4 linked regions of the Callithrix jacchus genome follow. The protein of the gene in region 4 purifies or fractionates together with the protein of the main gene of each other region. This does not show direct contact. Links are inferred from orthologs where the notes say so. Each region holds a gene or a part of one and is shown on either strand. Other genes may lie near its edges. The genes, in order: NFKBIB, RPS3, NFKBIE and NFKB1.

Region 1 (2,959 bases), on a different chromosome or scaffold from region 4:
TGAAAAAATAAAAATAAAATAAAGTGCTATCACATCGCAAGGCACTCATGCCAGGCACCTTTGCCCGTCCCATGCCGCTGCTGTTGGCTGTGGTCACATTAGCCACTACTGCTCTTCCAGGGTTATGGTGGTCAGCATGGTCACCATCACGGTCCACGGTGATCAGAACGACTGCTGCTGGCTGCCACTGTGAGAACCGGCATGGCCCACGTTCACAGTGACTGCGATGGCCTGTCTTTGAAGGTGGGTGCTGACCACCACCTTTCTGACCCCAGCAGGAACAGGAGGTGGAGCGGCTGGAGCACTTGAGAGACGAACTGAAGAAGGTAACGGAGACGCTGGGGGAGCAGCAGCTCAGGAGGGAGGGCTGACCCCTGCCTCGAGCCCTCCTTCCTCCCGACACACCCTGTGGCTTAGGTCTGTTGACCCTGAAGCCTCCACCTCACCAGCACCCCACAACACCCCTACTGGAGCAGGGGAGAAGATGGGCATGCCTTGGAACCACACCTGAGTTGAGCAGGGGGCTGGGGTCAGCCCTGACTCACGAAGCACCCCCACCCCCATGCATTCCCACTCCAACCCTTCTGAGTAAATAAAGCACAAAGAAAAGCACCCTGCCTCCGTGATGTGACAGGGATGAGCCCCAGAAGGACCTGGAGGACCGGGAAGATGAGATCAGTCTGGTTTCTGGTTTTCAGAATTGGGGTTTTATTTATTAAATTGGAAATTATATTAACAATCAAATGAATCAGACAGGGCGGGGGTCGTTAGGAAGAGGTTTCGAGGCTGGGGTGGGAGGCAACCGGGTTTGGCAGCAGCCGCTGTGAACCACAATGTCGTCGTATTCATCCTGGGGGCAAAGGGGACCAGGCAGAGGAGCTCAGATGTCTTCACAGAGCAGCCTAAGAATTGTGTCTTGCCCCAAATTCCCTTGCTCCTAGCTCTCAGAACTCCATTTTCCTTTTTTTAATTTTTATTTTATTTTATTTATTTATTTTTGAGACGGAGTTTTGCTGTTGTTACCCAGGCTGGAGTGCAATGGCGCGATCTAGGTTCACTCCAACTTCTGCCTCCCGGGTTCAAGCAATTCTCCTATCTTAGCCTCTCAAGTAGCTGGGATTACAGGTGCCCGCCACCACGCCAGGCTAATTTTTGTATTTTTAGTAGAGATGGGGTTTCACCATGTTGGTCAGGCTGGTCTCGAACTCCTGACCCCAGGTGATCCACCTGCCTGGGCTTCCCAATGTGCTGGGATTACAGGCATGAGCCACTGTGCCCAGCCAGAACTCCATTTTCAAATTTACTTCTATAGTCGGAGCTCTAGCCCAGCCGACACTCCAGCATTCTGGCAACTAAGGTGGCCCTCCTCCACCCCTTCCCTCTGCCTTTACCCGAATTACTGCATGCCCGTCATTCAGCCCCGCACCTTGCCCAAGGTCAGGTCTGTATTGCTGGGTTCTCTGACTACATCTCTCCCACCTCTGGCTTGGGTCCTGCCCTACCGCTGCTGGTGTTCAAATCACTGCCACCCAAGGTTGTCTTTTCATAACCTGAATTCTCCAGCTCCGACGCTGCCACCCACCCTGCCTGTGTTCACTATGACCAAGGTCTTTTCTCCAACTCTGGCTGAGTTCTACTTTTGCCACCACCTTAGCTTTTCAGCCACGTCTGCCCAAGCTCTTCCCACCGCCCCACCCAGGTCTGTTCTTACTAGTGCCCCATGTCACTGGTGCTGCCACCTGCCTGAGTTCTCCAGCAGCAGCAGCCCAAGGTCGGTCTCCACGTGCACCTAATTATCTTCTCCTGCTTCCTGCCTGCCGGTCTACCCTGACCCCCCAGCTGGGCAGCCCTGTCTCGCCTCCTGACTCACGCCCTCATCTCCGCTGTCGCTGTCGCTACTGCTGCTCCAGGGGCCGGGTCTGTCGTCCTCGTCCTCAGGCTCAGGGGCTCCGTGTTGACGGAGGAGGCGGGCAAGGATGGGGTTGGGCCGGAGCATGGCACTGCCCAGGGGAGTGCAGCCACCGTACATGTGGGCAGCAGGGTTGGCACCTGCCCTCAGGAGAAGCTCTAGTACATCGGCCGCCTGGGCCTCCACTGCCAAGTGCAGGGGGCTCCGGCCACACGTGGGCTCCTGTGGGTGCAGCAGAAGGGTCAGAGGGCCCAAGGAGGGGACCAGCCCCCTCCTGACGACAGCAGCTTCCCCCAGGGTGGTGCTCACCGGTTTGTTGAGGTCAGCTCCGGCATCTCGGAGCAGCTGGACCATCTCTGCATCTTTGTGGATAACAGCCACGTGGAGTGGGGTGTGGCCTGGGGACAGAGTGACGCATCAGATGATGGGGTGAGGGGTCCCCCATGCTTTGATCCTGGGGGAGGACCACGTGGCCTGAGGGTGATCAGGTGTGGGGCTGGTTCCTGAACCTTTGGGTATGTCAAAGAGGTACCTGGGTCCTAAATGTGTGTGTCGGATGGCCTTAGCTTGCCGGCAAGTGCTAGAGCCTGGGCTTTGAGAAGCCTGGGGCTCATGGGTGAAGAGCCTGGGGTCTGTGGATGGGGGGCTGGGATGTTGGGGCCAGGAGACCTAAGTCTCTGCTCTTAATTCACAAAGGACCTGAGCTGGTGCGCTGGCTCATGCCTGTAATCCCAACACTTTGAGAGGCCAAAGCAGGCAGATCACAAGGTCAGGAGATCGAGACCATCCTGGCCAACATGGTGAAACTCCATCTCTAGTAAATCCACAAATTAGCCGGGTGTGGTGGCAGGCACCTATAGTCCCAGCTACTCCGGAGGCTGAGGCAGGAGAATTGCTTGAACCCAGGAGGTGGAGGGTGCAGTGAGCTGAAATCACACCACTGCACTCCAGCCTGGTGGAGAGTGGGACTCCGACTCAAAAAAAAAAAAAAAAAAAAAAAAAAAAGGGGGGGCTACCAAGTGGCTGAAAAGCCTGTGATCTGGGGGTGAG
Region 2 (4,188 bases), on a different chromosome or scaffold from region 4:
TTACAACACTGAATATACCCTTCATGGTTCTTGCTGCTTTAGCAGTCTTGTTAGTCTGCCAGTTCAGTGAAGGCATGGCTTAGTACCCTATAATCACAGGAGATTACCAGATGCTGTCACTTTGTAACAGTTCATCTGCTAAATTAACAAATGGCAGACATATATTTTGATACACACAAACGTCAGTACCATTAGGTCTCAGGATACTTACCTGCGCACAGCAAGCCCTCCTAGGAGTTTGTAACGCAGAGACTCTGCCTGAGCAATTGCGCACAGACCTCTAGTGGCCACCTTTTCAGCATAAAGCTTTAAAGGAAGCAAGGGACATTGTGTTACCATTCACCACTGTTTTCAACTGAAAGTTGAAAATCTGACATTTGTCATACAGGCATCACTTTCTACACCAAACTCGTCCAACCCACGGGCCACATGCAGCCCCGGACAGCTTTGAATGTGACCCAACACAAATTCAACATCATGATTTTTTGTGCTATCATTAGTGTGGCCCAAGACAATTCTTCCAATGTGGCCTAGGGAAGCCAAAAGATTGGACACCACCATCACATATAGCATATCATTTCAGTATCCCTCAATTCCTAAAGCACTTCTACCACCTACACACAGTGCAGGTTCCTTGCCCTCCCGCCCTGGCTCCTTTAGCCACACCAAGGACACCAGTGCGGACAGTCAAGCCATCATATGCCCAAGTTGAACGTAAAATCCTTTAACCACCATTCGTTAGCAGAATAGGCTTACAAAGTTAAGCTCATTATTCATTAAGAGAATTTCAACATTTTACCAGTCCATTTGTAATGAACAAATAAAGTCTCCAAATTGAAAGTTTTTTAGAAGTATTCTGAAGAGCCATCTTTCTCTGGCATGCCAGAATCACTCACCTCTACACTGCCCTCTGGAAAGCCAAACCTTTTCTGAACTACAGCAGTCAGCTCCCGAATCCGCCGGCCCTTCTCACCAAGAACATTCTGTGTTCTGGGGGGGGAAAGGTGACAATTCATGACTCTTACAATGCTAGATGTAACTTTAAATCTTGCATACATGTGTGGTAGCAAAAAATCTCTGCCACAAAGCATAAAATTTTTTAACAAAAACAAAAGTTAAATTTTAAAAATGCAGTTGCAATCCTACACCTGGCCTTAAAATGCAGCTTTTAAGAAGCAGTTATATTCACTAAGCCCAGATTCATTAGTTGTTTGTACCTTAAGTTCACAGAGAATAAACCAACTTAGCATTTACATAGATGGGCAGTCAAGTGGGTTTTACCTGGTGGCTAAGATGATGATTTCTGTCCTGGTTGGTGTAACTCGGACCTCAACTCCGGAATAGCCATCTTCAGCCAGCTCCCGAGTAAGAAACTCATTCAGTTCGGCTTTGAAGATGCCATCAGCGACAAACTAACCCAAAAAAAGTGAAGTTCAAAATTAGGACATCGGTGTAGGTTCACTGTCATCTGAGCCAGTCTAGTCTTACTAGTCAATGCATTCCTCACCAAAACTACCTCCAACTAATGATTCCAAACCCTTGTTTCAACAGGAGTGCAGCAACCCTTCTCAGGCAAATGCCTCTAGGTCATCTTTAGGAAGTTACTTCAGCCAGGGCCCTTTAAACAGTGCCACAGAACGCAGCACAGAGTAGGCCACCTGGGCAAAGGGAACACCCCCAAGTCAGACTCGTCATCATCTCTTCATCGAAGGGTTTAAAACAGTTCCACGTGCAAAAACACGAAACTGCTCTAAAATGGCCCATTTACATTTCGCTCAGCACAGCAAAGACACTGTACTTCTCACCGTGAAGGAAGAGAGTGTGGACTTAATAATATAGAAGCCGTCCCACTTGTAGACAAAATCTGGACCGTCTAAAGAATCCCAGCCATGTTATCTGGCCTTACAGTACCTGCTGATTTAACTGTAAACAGAGCTGGCAAATCCTAACTCAGAGTCGTGGACTTAATTTTAACATCGAAGTGTTCATATACAAAATGACAAACCGTCTATTTTTTTTTTTGAGACGGAATTTCGCTCATTACCCAGGCTGAAGTGCAATGGCGCGATCTCGGCTCGCCGCAACCTCCGCCTCCTGGGTTCAAGCAATTCTCCTGCCTCAGCCTCCTGAGTAGCTGGGACTACAGGCGTGCGCCACCATGCCCAGCTAATTTTTGTATTTTTAGTAGAGACAGGGTTTCACCTTGTTGACCAGGATGGTCTCGATCTCTTGACCTCGTGATCCACCCGCCTCAGCCTCCCAAAGTGCTGGGATTATAGGCGTGAGCCACCGCGCCCGGCCTCAAACCGTCTATTTTTAAAGCTAATGATTTTTACAGTTTTTTCTCGTGGAATGATAAGACGTTAAATCCGAGGCAGCTTCCTCCCGGGGTCCTCAGACGGAACAAGCTACCGTCAGTAACTCTTCAGTTGAGATTTGGGGGCCAGCAGATTGCACCCAAACACGACCAGTAAGAAGGTAAGAAACCTTCCCCTTCCCAAAACCACGGGGTAACACATGAGGGAAATGACACACGCCCTCATGTGTTTAATTAGGTGGACCAAAAAATGCTCACAAACGCCTTCTCCGGGACAGAAGAGGCGCCTGGTGCCCATCTCTCTGAGCTTCACTCAGAACCGGAAAAATATGGTTCTCTCCCTTTCCCGGCCTCACAATGCTCGCCTGGCTCGGGCCTCTCACTCAATCCACCTGGATCTGCGGCCCGCAGGAACGCCAGGCGGCCTCAACCGCTTCCTAGGGCAGGGCACAGAGCCGCAGGCCTCGCGGTGGCACCTCGGGAAGCCCTTGACCCGCGTGGCGCCATCATTTCCCAAGCACAGGCCCCAGAGACTCACCTTCCTCTTTTTAGAAATTTGCACAGCCATCTTGCCGCCACACTCCGCCGAAAGGAAAGGAAAGGAAATGGCTCTCGGGCGGAAATGGGTAAAAGGGCGCGAGCGACGACCTACGGCGGCGCTACGTGGACGCCTGTGGGTGTTCATGGGAAATGTAGTGTTTACGTAGAAGGCGTCTGGGGAAAGAAGAGTGTTGGTATCTCTGCAGGCAGAAACAAGAAAGGGGGTTCATCCAGCAGGACTTCTAAAATGCAGGGGAACTTAGATATCAAATTAACTTAGTTTAAAAACAAGCAATGTGAGGTGCAGAGGTGGAAATTACAGGTATAAGTTCACACAGCAAGAGTTTAACCAGCGTGGAACTCTGACCCCTATGGGTCGACACTGTAATGAAAATTTGCTGAAAGCCCTCAGTGAAACTCATTTAAGACTCCTCTTTGGGAGGCCAAGGCAGGCGGATCACTTGAGATCAGGAGTTCGAGATTGGCCTGGCGAACATGGTGAAACCCCGTCTCTACTAAAAATACAAAAATTAGAGTGGTGCCGGGTGCCTGTAATCCCAGCTACTCGGGAGACTGAGGTGGGAGAGTTGCCTGCGCCGTGGAGGCGGAGGTTGCAGTGGGCCGAGATCGCACTACTACACTCCAGTCTGGGCGACAGAGTGAGACTGTCTCAAAACAACGACAACAACAACAAAACCTCATGTCCCCAGTCAGTGCCCCTTTCCTCCGTTCCAAATGATAATAATAAAACCTGATATTTACTAAGCATCCTAGGGACTGTGTTCCGTGTCCTTTTTGTTCTCATTTACCCCACCTTGCTTTCATCAAGTCCATTATAGTTTGTAACGGAAGTCCCAGAGGGTGGCTCATGTGTGCATTTCTATCTTTCTCTCTTTCTTTCTCTCTCTCTCCTTTCTTTCTCTCTCTCCTCCCTTCCCTCCCCTCCTCTTTGTCTTTCTTTTTCTCTCCTGTTGCCCAGGCTGGCGTGCAGTGGTACAATCTCAGCTCACTGCAACCTCCGCCTCCTGGGTTCCAAGCAATTCTTCTGCCTCAGCCTCCCAAGTAGATGGAATTACAGGCATATGCCACCATGCCCAGCTAATTTTTGTATTTCTAGTAGAGACGGGGTTTTACTATGTTGGCCAGGCTGATCTCCAACTCCTGCCCTCAAGTGATCCACTCGCCTTGGCTTCCCAGAGTGCTGGGATTACAAGCATGAGCCACCACGCCCGGCTAAAAAGAGGCTTTCCAATGTGCCACACTCCCTGGCAGCACCACTCGATTGTTTTCTGGTCCTAGAAGCCACTGGAGTGTTTAATAACTCCAATACT
Region 3 (2,640 bases), on a different chromosome or scaffold from region 4:
CCCTCCACTCCCGCCGCCGCCTCCAGGAGCGGCCAGCGAGCCAGCGGCCAGCGGAAGTGCCGCGCTCTTCCCGCCTCCCTCCCCGCGGCCCCCTCCGCCCCTGCCGCGACCACGCAGCGCCCCGGGCCGCCGCCGGGCCACAGCGCCCCCGCGCGGCCTGGAGGCAGATGCGGCTCGGATTCCGGGGAGCTGGGCTACCCCTGGGCGCGGGGAGCCCCAGCCCTGGAGAGGCGCCAGCTTGGCGCGTCCCCTGTGCTTCGTCATTGCCCTTGGCCTTCATAAGCGTCCCAGAGGTCATGGTGACCATTGCCATCTTGTGGACCGGAGACATTGAGGCTCTGCATCCCAAGCCCCTCCTCTGTGTTACAGTTTCCCCGTTTTCCGAAAGGATGGTGTCTCCTTCCTTTTTTGTCTGGGCAGTAATCCTGTCCCCCCACTTCTCATGACCTCTACATGGCCTTGCCCGCGTTCCTCGCCCACTCACCCACGCGCTGTGGAGCCCCACTGACCTGCTCTCAGTTCTTCTAATTCACTCAAGGCTTTCCCCCAAATGCTCTGCCCTCATCCCTTTACTCATCATTACATCCCAGTTGAAATGACACTCCTCAGGCGGGGGTTCCCGGGCAACCCAAAGCATGGCCTTCTCCCGACTCCATCCTTTTCCTTCCCACTATTCTTTCCCTTCACAGCACCTACTGCAACTTGTAAGGACATCTTTATTTGGATGATTACGCTTTTAACAGCTGTCTCTCTCACTGGCTGAGAAGGACCAGCATAGGACCAACCTAGCCAGGCCCTGGAAGGTGAAGAATGGGAAGAAAAATATGAAGTCACAGCTCCCTTGTGCCCAGTCACCCTGGGCTACCCTTGTTCCTCCAGATGGCAGTGCCCAGGGCAGTAGGGAGGGCTCCAGGGCCTGTGTCTTCTCATTCTTCCTCCTCTCCCTCCATCCCTCATCATTTCCACAGCAAGGACAAGGATCTATGCTGGACACAGAGAAAGGCCTGGGGACTAGTGGCCTCTGACCCCACCCAGCAAGGTCCTATCGTGCTCAGGGGACAATTGCATTCTCTCTGCCTTCATCACAAAGTCATAGGGCAGGCCTGTCTAAACAGCCCCAATGCACACAGACATGCATGCGCACAAAACAGCGCTAGAAGGGAAAAACTTTTTTAACATCTCTGCCATTTTAGTGTCATGTTACTGAAACTTCCCTTCCCCAGTCGCTCAGTTCAGAGCCTTCTCTGTGAAGTCAAGTGTTTCAGGGTCCTCAACAGCAGTAAGACAGGACCCCCCTCAGAGTTCAGCTTGCTCCTATTTCTGTCTCTTCTCACTCAGGAGAGTCCACCATGTTTCCTACTGATTGACAGTTTCCGGCTGACCCAACATGGGTAGAAACAAGAGCACCTGCCATTTTCAAGAGAGGCAAACAGGCTTCACCCAGGATACCTGGGGCTTTGGGGGTCTTCCAAGAATCCCTGTCCATCTGGAAAGTTCCTCCTTCCAGACTGGCTCTCTCTCACTTGCAGTTCCTCCTTCTCAGCTCAGGACTGTACTGGCTGGCCCCAGGCTCTGGCCATAGCAGTCCCTAGGGCACCAGAAGAGCACACAGCCTGGGCCCAAACTGCAGCAGTGATGACTTCAGCTTCCAGATAGAGAAAGAGGTTGAGCCCTGAAGATTTCAGACCCTTCCTGGCTTCAGTCGGTACACAGCAGCAGTTTCCCTGAGATCTTCAGGTCATCGAAAGGCAAAAGGACAAGGGACTGAGAAGGAGAACAGAGAGAAGCAAGATCAGAGGACATGAGAAAAGGTGACTTGGGAAAGGGGACCCAGGGAAACCTGTTGGGCCACTCCCTCCCCACCAAATGACAGTTGAAGACCATCGGAGAACAAATCTCCATACGAATCTTCAAAGTAGTAGCCTCTCTAGGCTTGGCAGAGCCCTGAGGACATAGGTGAGCCTCCCTTTTCTAAGATAACGCCAGAATATCCGGAGTTAGGAGGGACCTTAGAGATGATCCCGCCCACGGACCTGGTTTTTTGTTGTTGTGGGGGTGGGGGAGGCTGGGTACTCGGAGAAAATTTTGGGTTTCTTTTTTACACTGAACATTTAAAAATAGGAAAGACTATACAGAAAACCTGGGTTTCACCTCTCAAAAAATTCCAAGACCGGGAAAAACTGGGCCTACACTCCTGCTCTGTAAGCTTTTGCTGAAGCTGAGTACAGAGACCCTCAGGGATGGCTCTCTGAGTTCCTACAGGCCTCACCACACCATGGTCGCATACCTGGCCATCTTCACTGATTCACGTTAACTGCAGGGTCTCTGTAGGAGTCCAAAGTTGGCTCCCTGGTCATGACCAACTAAGAAAACAGGCTCAAGTTCCCACAGTTGGTCAGTGGCAGAGTCCTCGTTATAACCCAGGACTCCTTGCTCTGTGGCCCTTTCAGCTAATGACAACACCTCGCTCTGCCATGGGTGTGCAAGGCCCTGGAGAGCAAAGCATATGTCTCTTACTTCCTCAGTCAGGTCCTGGGGTGTCTCATCCTCCACGTTCCGCAGCAGGGAGTCAGCACCCGCCTTGCACAGAGTGGATGAGATGCCCATGAGGCCCCGGCCAGCTGCCAGGTGCAGGGGTGT
Region 4 (3,715 bases):
ACTTTAAAAATTCAGCTTTCCTGAAATTCACAGAAGAGCTTTATTTCATTTTTCTTCTTTACAAATAAGCAAAATGAGATCTAAGATTTCAGAAGTAGACTGAAAAGTTATTTTTAGGAATGAGAGTTTAGAATATCACCAAAACATGGAATTTATGATACGGCCATTTTTTTTAAAGAATTTCAAATTATTTCTTTTCCCTTTTCAGCAAATTTGCTTCTAACCTTTATCTGACCTATGTTGGAATAGTGAATTGTCAATTGATATATTTTACTGAGAAAAAGCTGATGTTTTTGCATTTATCTTAGGAGCCATGGACAGTGAATCTAAAACGGACCCTGAAGGTTGTGACAAAAGTGATGATAGAGACACTGTAAACCTCTGTAGAAAAGTCACTGAAACCACAGAGCAGGATCAGGAGCCCAGCAAGGCCACTGATGGGAATGGTGAGGTCACTCTAACGTATGCAACAGGAACCAAAGAAGAGAATGCTGAGGTTCAGGGTAAGTGAGCACACAAGTTACGTTCTGTTGGTTAGCTAGGGAGGGGTCAGTCCCAGGTATAGAAATATATCTGCTAATCTAAAGATGATGTATCAATTTCTAGTTCAGTGTACTCTTCAAAGTTATGTATGCCTTTTTAAAAGCATGTGTCAGATCATTTTATTCACACTGGAAATTCCATTTTTGCTGTTATCTTTGAATATACAGAAATTTACATGTACATTCTCCAGTCATATTCATGCAGTTTTAGGGTATTGTGAGAGACAATCAACTTCTTTTCTGGCACAGATAAATAGAGAAGTATTTCCATAACCTTAATAGTCACCCTCTCTAGAATCTGGCTTAACCGTCATACTGAAGTAGAACTTTGCCTTAAAATAGGAACTTTTCTTTTCATCTTGTTGCCTTCTTTGAAGGAGGAGGATTAAGAGAAAATGTACTTTTGCATTTACTCTGAACCAGTACTTATTAGCATATGTGTCATGATTCTAGATCATCCTAGATGGTACTAAGAAGACTCCTGTAAAAGGAAAGGTAGTAAATATTTAGAGTTGGTGGCCACATTTGGTGTCTGTCACATATTCTTTTTTCTTTTACACCCCTTTAAAAATGTACAAGCCATGATTAGCTAGGAAGCCATATGAAAAGCAGGTCGTAAACAGGTTTTGGCCCAAAGGTCACAATTCTCTAACCTTAATGGAACAAACTTTACAAAATCATGAGTGTCTCATTGAAAGTTTCTATTTATAGCAGAGATGTGTGTTTTTCCACACATTGCCTAACAAGCTAATTGTTAGAGATTCCAATGAAGGATTATTTCACCAAGAGATGTGGTGATTTAAAATTACAGTAAAATCTAACATTATTTGGAGATTGTTTTCCTTAAAATAACAGACATTAATTGTTCACCTTAAAATAACAGACATCTCTAAATTTTTTTCCTTTAACAAACTATACACAGATTCTTTAAGATCAATCTCTAACAATATTTGTCACTGACCCAATGTCCAATTCTGCTTTTTCTAATCAACACAATCCAAAAGCATTGAAAGGAGCATTTTCAACTAAAGTGATGTGTCAAGGTGTCAGAACACCGATGCTGGTCAGTCTGGCCTCAAGCATGCCTTGCTGTTAGAACAAAAGAAGGAAACTCAGCTGTGATTGTGGTCATTGCCTTACAGATAACCTCTTTCTAGAGAAGGCTATGCAGCTTGCGAAGAGGCATGCCAATGCCCTTTTCGACTATGCAGTGACAGGAGATGTGAAGATGTTGCTGGCTGTCCAGCGCCATCTCACTGCTGTGCAGGATGAGAATGGGGACAGGTAAGTCAGGACTTTTGTATGATGGGCTGTTTTGGGCAGGGAAGAAGAGCATTTTATAAATGTATACAGATGAGAGATAAAAAAATAACTTTTCAAATGTATTGAGTCCTCTAACTGGAACAATCAAGAAAACTAATGTGTACGGTAACCAGAGCAAAATTTGCTGCTCCATCCTGCTGTCACCTGTTGGAATCTGTAATAGTTGGAGGACTCATCTAAGAGTGAATCTCTCTGGGCAAGAAAACTAAGATGTGTGTAGGTAATGGTACTTTTTAAAAAGACTTGCTTTGTTTATTGAAATAATAACAAGTCCTACCAAATCCCTGAAGCATTGTTATCCCAGCTGCGTTTTTATAATGACAGTGTACTCAAGAAAGAGCTCAATAAAGGCAGCAACAACGAATACTTAAGAGGGACTGGTTCTTCTTTCCCAGTTACTGGTTTCTTCTCTACTCCATCTGCTAATGGTCACCAGTCTGAGACTGGTTCAGACTTCTGTGACTGCTCCAGCCCGTGTGTGGGAGTGGAGCATTCCAGATACCATGCCTTCCATTCCTGCTAGTACTGAGATTGTATTTGCAAAGCCACCTGGCTTCTTTCTAAAACAGTTCTCTTAGTCCTTTCATTGAGACTTCTGAAATGATCTCAAAAGCCTATAAAAATAACAAGAGACAGCAGCCTTCACATTCAAGTCAAGTGCCTTATCTAGAAGCTTCCTAAAATAGCATCAACACAGATAAATCCTTTTCTGTGGAAGAGCTCTTGAGTGCTGTGTTTTAGACCTCAGTTTAAAAAGTAAACCAAGCACTTAAGGAAAGTAACAACCTCAGGGTTTCAAACAGAGAGACCTTTGTTCTCATTCCTTGCAATGTAACCAAGGATGTGGTATAACCACTGGCCTTGTTATACAGTATGAGAGGAACCAGTACAACCTTTTTGGTATAAGGCCATGAACAACAGAATGCTTTTTCAGGGTTAAATAATCCAGTTAGCATTCAGTCACGCACAACCACAAGAAAAAGCAGTTAACCAAGACAAGACAGCAGTGTTTCAAGTGACATTTCCAGAGACCCATTGAATTGATAAGTCTAAGAATATGAGCACATACAGGTTGGAAAGGAAGTGCTGATATCTGAAGGGAGGATTCTAGGAAGGGATAAAAGGCGAGGCGCATGCAAGTTCCCTCCTAAGACCCAAGCACACTCACACAGGCAGGCTCTCAGAGAGACCACAGAGGTGGGACTTGGAGAGACTAAAGGATCCTCATAGGAGCATAGGTAAAGGACAGATTTTGGCCATCACAGCCCAAGTCTTTTGTTTTTTTTTCCACAGCAATTTATTGTGTATTTCAAAATAGCTAGAAGACAAGATATGAAATGTTCTCAAACACAGAGAAAAGATAAATATTTGAGGTGATGAATATCCTAAGTACCCTGATTTGATTATTGCACATTGTATGTATCAAAATATCACATGTGCCCCATAAATATGTAAAGTTATAATGTATCAATAAAAAATTTTTAAAGATTAAGATGGCACATTATACATTTTGGGTTTTTGGCAAGTCTCTTCTTTTAATTCACCTTGTCATATTTGGCTAATAGTCTGAATCCTGTGGCCATTAGTCATCATAGAAAATACAATAAAAATATATATATATAAAACTTCTGGTACTGGGGAAATTCCCATAAGGGTGTGAGGATTTGAGGGGGAGGGGGATTGTACTTCTGCTATGAAATGCTGAGCTGCACATGGAAATTTTCGGGCAGTTTTAGAAGTATGACCTTTTTCTTAGTATATGTGCATCATGTCTGTGTCATTTGAGGCCCTTTTCAGAAGTTTTCTTCTAGTATCACATTTCAAGAAGCAATAGTGAAACCCTGAGATCA

The links.
Region 1: the proteins of NFKB1 (region 4) and NFKBIB purify together in Homo sapiens (affinity purification with mass spectrometry; 7 studies listed by BioGRID and IntAct, counting the BioPlex papers as one, with this or other methods). This does not show direct contact. The link is inferred for Callithrix jacchus from reciprocal best matches to the Homo sapiens genes NFKB1 and NFKBIB.
Region 2: the proteins of NFKB1 (region 4) and RPS3 purify together in Homo sapiens (affinity purification with western blotting; 3 studies listed by BioGRID and IntAct, with this or other methods). This does not show direct contact. The link is inferred for Callithrix jacchus from reciprocal best matches to the Homo sapiens genes NFKB1 and RPS3.
Region 3: the proteins of NFKB1 (region 4) and NFKBIE purify together in Homo sapiens (affinity purification with mass spectrometry; 4 studies listed by BioGRID and IntAct, with this or other methods). This does not show direct contact. The link is inferred for Callithrix jacchus from reciprocal best matches to the Homo sapiens genes NFKB1 and NFKBIE.

The regions. Positions count from the first base shown.
Region 1 is NC_133523.1:34,465,362-34,468,320, reverse strand, and holds the end of NFKBIB (NF-kappa-B inhibitor beta), read right to left. Parts: intron 2,308-2,959; coding exon 2,219-2,307; intron 2,132-2,218; coding exon 1,871-2,131; intron 851-1,870; coding exon 749-850; 3' UTR 685-748; downstream 1-684. Other genes in the region: CCER2 (coiled-coil domain-containing glutamate-rich protein 2), read left to right, coding at 276-371. UniProt on the Homo sapiens protein: Inhibits NF-kappa-B by complexing with and trapping it in the cytoplasm.
Region 2 is NC_133511.1:65,551,186-65,555,373, forward strand, and holds the start of RPS3 (small ribosomal subunit protein uS3), read right to left. Parts: upstream 2,916-4,188; 5' UTR 2,886-2,915; coding exon 2,856-2,885; intron 1,712-2,855; exon of another isoform or gene 1,564-1,711; intron 1,413-1,563; coding exon 1,282-1,412; intron 991-1,281; coding exon 897-990; intron 307-896; coding exon 212-306; intron 1-211. UniProt on the Homo sapiens protein: Component of the small ribosomal subunit. The ribosome is a large ribonucleoprotein complex responsible for the synthesis of proteins in the cell. Has endonuclease activity and plays a role in repair of damaged DNA.
Region 3 is NC_133505.1:52,723,060-52,725,699, forward strand, and holds the end of NFKBIE (NF-kappa-B inhibitor epsilon), read right to left. Parts: coding exon 2,518-2,640; intron 1,765-2,517; coding exon 1,699-1,764; 3' UTR 697-1,698; downstream 1-696. UniProt on the Homo sapiens protein: Sequesters NF-kappa-B transcription factor complexes in the cytoplasm, thereby inhibiting their activity. Sequestered complexes include NFKB1-RELA (p50-p65) and NFKB1-REL (p50-c-Rel) complexes.
Region 4 is NC_133504.1:94,736,525-94,740,239, reverse strand, and holds part of NFKB1 (nuclear factor NF-kappa-B p105 subunit), read left to right. Parts: intron 1-308; coding exon 309-503; intron 504-1,684; coding exon 1,685-1,826; intron 1,827-3,715.